Styela clava: one gene and its partner. The protein of the gene in region 1 purifies or fractionates together with the protein of each later gene. This does not show direct contact. Links are inferred from orthologs where the notes say so. Each region holds a gene or a part of one and is shown on either strand. Other genes may lie near its edges.

Evidence for each region.
Region 2: the proteins of putative ATP-dependent RNA helicase DDX23 (region 1) and CD2 antigen cytoplasmic tail-binding protein 2 homolog purify together in Homo sapiens (affinity purification with mass spectrometry; 6 studies listed by BioGRID and IntAct, counting the BioPlex papers as one, with this or other methods). This does not show direct contact. The link is inferred for Styela clava from reciprocal best matches to the Homo sapiens genes DDX23 and CD2BP2.

What each region holds. Positions count from the first base shown.
Region 1 is NC_135258.1:10,986,553-10,990,314, reverse strand, and holds the start of putative ATP-dependent RNA helicase DDX23, read right to left. Parts: upstream 2,635-3,762; coding exon 319-2,634; 3' UTR 1-318. Other genes in the region: cyclin-H-like, read right to left, coding at 3,752-3,762. UniProt on the Homo sapiens protein: Involved in pre-mRNA splicing and its phosphorylated form (by SRPK2) is required for spliceosomal B complex formation.
Region 2 is NC_135258.1:7,298,733-7,301,460, reverse strand, and holds CD2 antigen cytoplasmic tail-binding protein 2 homolog, read left to right. Parts: upstream 1-926; 5' UTR 927-993; coding exon 994-2,088; 3' UTR 2,089-2,098; downstream 2,099-2,728. UniProt on the Homo sapiens protein: Involved in pre-mRNA splicing as component of the U5 snRNP complex that is involved in spliceosome assembly.

The DNA of each region.
Region 1 (3,762 bases):
ACTAATATCCACATAAAAAAATTTATGCATGAAGGCAATCGGCTATGAACTAACTGTATGTAACAGTACTGAATGAAGGCACTATGCTTCATGGAACATCAAGTAAAGGGTGCCATAATTAGACTAAAATAAAACAAAAACATGAAACAAGCTTTTGTAGACATATCATTTTGACATCAAGACAAATTGTTTTATATCTGGAGGTGAAAATCCATTCGACTCCATACAGATCTTGAAACAAATTTTGATGTTAATGAGTAATTGGCTGCGAAATGCAATCAGGTCAGCAAAGTTGAAAAAGAAATGATATTAAGATTTCTAAGCAAAAATAGTTTCTTCCCTTCGCTTTTTAGTGAGTATAGTCCCAGGTTTATGTTGGGCTTCAGGATGTCTTTCAAGTTCAGATGGGCAAGTAGAGACCGGACTCTCAAGCAATGCTTGTTTCAGGTCATAAAAAACTGCCGAGTCTTCTTGAGTAATAAATGTTATAGCTGTTCCAGTCTTTCCCATTCTCCCTGTACGTCCAATACGATGAGTATAATCTTCAATCGACCTTGCCATATCAAAATTAATAACCAAAGAAACATCAGGAATGTCGATACCACGTCCAGCCACATTTGTGGCAACAAGGATATCTTTACTTCCTTCTTTTAATCCACTCAAAGCGAATTCACGTTGTTCCTGACCTTTACCCCCATGAAGTGTAGTAGCATTGTATCCCATTTTTTCCAATGATCTTGCCAAGACGTCGCAACCTTTTTTCTGATTTACGAATATAATAATAGGTGGTGTGATACCTGCTCCCAAAATTTCCAACAGCTTTCTCCTTTTTGCATTCTCCTTTAACAAATGAACAATTTGTTTTACTTTTTCTATTGGTTTTCCAGCTACTCCAATATTCACAATCGCTGGGCGTCGCAAATAAGTTTTAGCTAACCTTTCAACAATAGGAGGCATAGTTGCAGTGAACATGACAGTCTGTCTAAACTTATGCTTTGATAGAAAATTGCTTCGCATTAGTAAATCATCATCCAACTGCTCTGAATCAGGCTTTTGATTTGTCACTGGCATATGATCAAGAATTTTCTTCACATCAGGTTCAAAACCCATGTCAATCATCCTATCAGCCTCGTCAAGAACAACGTATGTGCATTGGCTCAATACCAGATAGCGGTTTTCCAAGACGTCAATAAGACGACCTGGTGTTGCAATAACAATTTCACATCCCATGCGCAATTTAAAACCTTGGTCCTCCCTTGATAAACCTCCAATGACTGCAACAGTACGCATTCCAAGTTCTTTACCAAATTTTATGGTTTCCTCTTCGATTTGTTGTGCCAGTTCACGAGTCGGAGCTAAAATAATTGCATATGGTCCTTTATCTGCATCTTCTAATCTCTCTATTTTAGGCAGTGATGTTATCCATATCAAGAGGGGGATTAAAAATGCCGCTGTTTTACCAGAACCAGTCTCTGCAACGCCGATAATGTCACGGTTCAACAGGCCGATGGGAATAGCTTGTCGTTGAATCGGAGTTGGATCCTTGTAACCAAGTCCATCAATGATTGCTAGAAGTTCGTCTGGAATATCCTTACATTCTTTCCAAGATCGTAAAGGTGGTGGAATGTTTCCACCCTTAGTAGCTATACTGTAATCCTCACGGAAGATTCTCCAGTCTCTTTCTTGCATTTCCTCTAAAGATTTCTTTGTCCAATGTCTATCATCCCACAATCGTTTCTTCTCCTTTTTCAAAGCATTTACCATCCTTTTCTTTTCTAAATCTTTTTCTTGTTGTGTTCTACGATTCTCCATAAGTTCTCCATAAAATTGTGATTGTGACTTCTTTTGGACTTTAACGTCAATGCCTGCAATAAATCCACGGCCAAACAAATGAACTTCGTGTTTTTCTTTATAAATTGGATTGAAGTCAACAGAAGTGTCATCACCAGCGTCCCAATCAAACACGAATTTTCTGTCGTTGAGACGTCGGACGCGTTTTTTCTTTTTTACAATACCCAGGTATCGATCTTTGATTGATGACAATTCTTTCTCTGCGTCTTTATCGATACGTTTCTTGTCTAGTTCATCGTCATCATCTTTGGCTCTTCGTTCTTTGCGCTCTCTACGTTCTCGATCATATGGATCCTCAAGCATTTTTCTCCCTTCGCTAAATATCTCCCTCTGCTTTTTACGCATCTCATCCATTTGTTTTCGCTTTTCTTCGACTTCTTGTTGCCTTCGGGCGATTGCTGCTGCAGCACGGTCCTCTTTGGTAGTGAATTTTGGCTTGGCAGCAGCATCTTCCTCCGCCTTCTTTTTGGCAAGCATTTCCTCAAGACTGAGAGGTTGAACCTTTGGCTTTTGAATATCTTCTTCCTCTTCAACTACCATTCCATTTTGAGAATCTTGTGACTTTTCCTCTTTTAATTCTTTATCAGTTTTATTATTATCTGAATGACTATACTTGTGAGATTTTCGATCTCTGTCTTTTGATCGAGATCTGGATCTTTTTCTGTCATGTTTCTTACGTTCTCTTGATCGAGAACGCTTTCGTTCTCTTGAGCGTGATCTTTTAGATCGTGATCGATGTTTTTTCTTGTCTCTTTCTCTGGAACGAGATCTGGATCTACCCATATTTATGCTCTGTGAAGATGAAAAACAAAAAAATATAAATCACATTATCTAGAAAGGATGATTGGAACATTAAAGCTGTGAAGCATCAAAATCACTGCAGACCTTTTATTGAAATGACTATGTGGTTAGAAACACAACAACAAGCATAGAAACACAACATTGACTTTTTTCAACTATCTATAACGAAGGGAGATTAATAAGCATTACATTTCGGCAATTAAATTAGTCAGTGGTACACACAACTACTTGATGAATTTAACAAACAAAAAAAGGCACAAACAGTTAGAAAGCAGTATACGCCTAGCACATGAATAATTTCTATTTAGATATTGCCATATTGGGTGTGAATTTGAAACAATCTCATGGAAATGAAGTAATGCACTGTCAAAACTTAGATTCAGAAAATGAAAATCCTTTTAGATGTAAATCACTTCTTCTAACCATAGTTTTTGCTTATAAATTATACCATATAGAGCCAAGAGAGCCATGGGAACAAAAAATCACTTCATTTTTTACCATGTACATCAGAATATCTGCTTTTTAGTCAAATATCTTTAATAACACTAATAAAAAGGCAGTTATATGTTACCACACAAACCATAATCATCCAAAGTATTGTGGACACAAAAATGCCATTGCATAAAGAGTGCGACCTGGCTACCACCAGTCAAACTATTACTTCACCAAGTATAGAATGATATAGGGAATAATCATGCATATGATATATGAAATTGCCTACATTAGATAATTTCTCATATACACTGATGTCATATCTCATATAAAAAGAGGAAATCATGTGAAATTGGACACAAATTCAATAAAATTCTAATTAAACCAAAACATTGAAATATGCACGACTCGATTCTTTAAAAGGTTTATGACAGCTTTATGGTATTTCAAATCAGCACATTACGGTACTTTGTAATGAATGGTTTATTTTCTACAAATTCGTACTTTAGAATAATTAAATTCATTAAGAATGTTACTGGACATCTGAAACAGAAAACGAAACTATCAGGGTCATTTCCTTCTCCAAAAAAACCATTGGACAGTTTATGGTAGCTACTGCAAATTTTAGAGAAAATGAAATAATATCTAAAACTGATAGTGATGTATTTTAAAAAGCAA
Region 2 (2,728 bases), about 3.7 Mb from region 1:
AGTGGGGTGGGTGCCAGTTCAGAATAAATGGTGGACAAAACAGAGGAAGAAGATGACTAAAAAAGCGAGTTCACAGAATCAGACGAGAGCAGCGGTCCCCATGTGGTATTTATTATATATATATATATATATATATATATATATATATATATAATAGGGAACCTCAGGACAATTGCAGAAATTTTGCATGTTGGTGTAAAAATGCCATTTGTATTATTGTCCAATCAGTTTGAGCAAGTGGGGTGGGTGCCAGTTGATGATGAGCCAGTCGATGATATATATGTGTCGGAAATGACGATAACACTGAAATTTTCTGTACTGGGATTTTCTGTGGTGAGGTCAATATTTATTTACTTGGCTGAAATGAAATGAAATGAAATGACTGATTATGAACATTTAAAAACTAACATGTAAACAACTTAGGGAACACTATCAGTTGAAGTAACGCGATACTACGAGAAAACACATTACCAACTCCAGAAAAAAAATTCTGGGGTCAAGGGTCGAGAAACATCCATTTGTATTTGGAAGGGTTGGGAAAGTGATTATTTTGCTCAAAACTTCAATAGTGGGGATGAATATATTAAATAGTATGCGCTTTGCTTATTATTTATGTTTAATATTGTGCAAGTGCTAACAAAGTGACCGGACAATGTGCTCACTCATGCTCATACCGAACACCCAGAGAGATTTATTGTTTCGTAAATGAAAAAACGAGCGCCGGGTCGTGGAATTTAGAAAATCTCCGAAGAAGGCTTCCGCAAAAGCAGCAGTGACTTCAAGCCTCGGCCTCTTATGATGCTCCGTTGATGGCATTTTCAGAGTTTAGTGATACCTGTATTCAGTGTAAAATGCTGGAATGGATATTTTCCAATTTTATTTTATCTTAAAAATATTCATTGACTGAAATTTTTACTTTTTACAGTTATAGGTACCGTACCGGTATGTCACAGCTCTATACGGTATCCAAGCCAGATACCAGTATTTTTTGAGATGTCAAAAAGAGTGAGATTCAGTGGTGAAGCTGGTGCAGAAGAGACTGTGCATAAATTTCCAAAATATGATGATGCATCTACAAAAAAATTTGAACTAAAAAATAATCAGGAAGATATTGTTGGACGGAGTCACCATCAATCTAGATTCAAACTCGACCACAGCCTTGATAGTGATGAAGAAGATAATAATAAGAAAGAAGATTTTGAAAAATTAACAGAAGAAGATGTTGAAGGAGCAGAAGATGATTATGTGGACACAGGGGAGGAAGTTGGAATCACACCTTTCAACCTAAAGGAGGAAATGGCTGAAGGAGACTTTGATGTTCAAGGGAATTATCATTTCCGGAAGGAGAACGTCATTCGGGATAATTGGTTGGATAATATTGACTGGATGAAAGTTAAAAAGAAAGATGTTGAAATGGAGCAAGATTCATCTGATGATGGAGAAAATACTTTAGATGAACTTGAAGTTTTGAAGAAAATAGTTGCTCTCATGCTACCTGGAGAAACATTAACCAGAGCTCTTCGACGCCACGGCGGAAAGGAGAAGAAGAAACGTTCATGGCGAAAAGAAAAAGTTTACGACCTTAATGCTACAAATGAGGAAACAAGCACAAGTAATGAAAATGACAAGGAAGCGAAACAGAAAGAGAAATTGTTGGAATTGACTGGTCTAGCAGATGAAATGACTGGCGCCGGACATTACGATGTTTATACAGATACTTACGAAAAGTTTCAACATAAAATTGAAAAAATGGAGGCCGAGAAAAAGGCGAAAGAGCCAGTTATACCTGATGACGCGGATGACGATGATGCTTTGGATATATTAGCAAGTAACATAGATGAAACAGACAAAATGAATGAATCTGGAAGTACTAATAGAAATGAGAATAGTAACGGTGAAAATGTAATAAAATGGGAATTTAAATGGACTGAGGAAGATTCTGAAATCCATGGACCTTTCACATCACAAGAAATGTTTGAATGGCAAGAACAAGGTTATTTTAAAGATGGTGTTTTGGTTCGAAGAACAGATCGTGATGAATCACAGTTCTATTCATCCAAACGAATAGATTTTGATCTTTATACTTGATCTATGAAACTAAGCGTCCTCATTTTTTCCAAATTCTTACTCTTCTTTAATGTGGATTTACTCAGCTGTGGGAGGAGATTTTTTGGGGCATAAAGTTTATCTGTAAATTATGTCACAACTGCAAAACTAAGATTAACTCAATCTGAGAAGTTATGTAGGGTAAAAATAACTCTGCATTTGAGGGTTTTATAGATAATGTTACTATTTCTTGTGCCTCAACTGTGTGTTGATTGGTCTCACTGCTGCACTGAGTTGAGACTAAATTACAGTCTTTCATTTGCTATTTTGTAGATTATACCTTGTCAAAATAATCTTCAAAATATCAGTGAAAGACCCTGCTTTAGTGTTTTGGGTGTCAGTTCATTTAAGTTACAACGTTAAACTTTGTCAGCTGATAATGCGTTTTTTCAAATGCCCTTTTTTGGCTTAATTTTGGTCATGTTTCAATTACAGAGTATTGGAAATACTTTTTGATAATTTTAGTCTGCAACAGTCATTTATCTTCTCCTTAATTTTATCGAACTACTAAATTTTCATCCCTTTGGCAGGAGTTTGACCTAGAGTAGTTCCTATGTTTTATTTGGTTGTTTAAATCGTTTGGTTCCCAACATTTTTAACGCACACAAATGAAATGCCAACA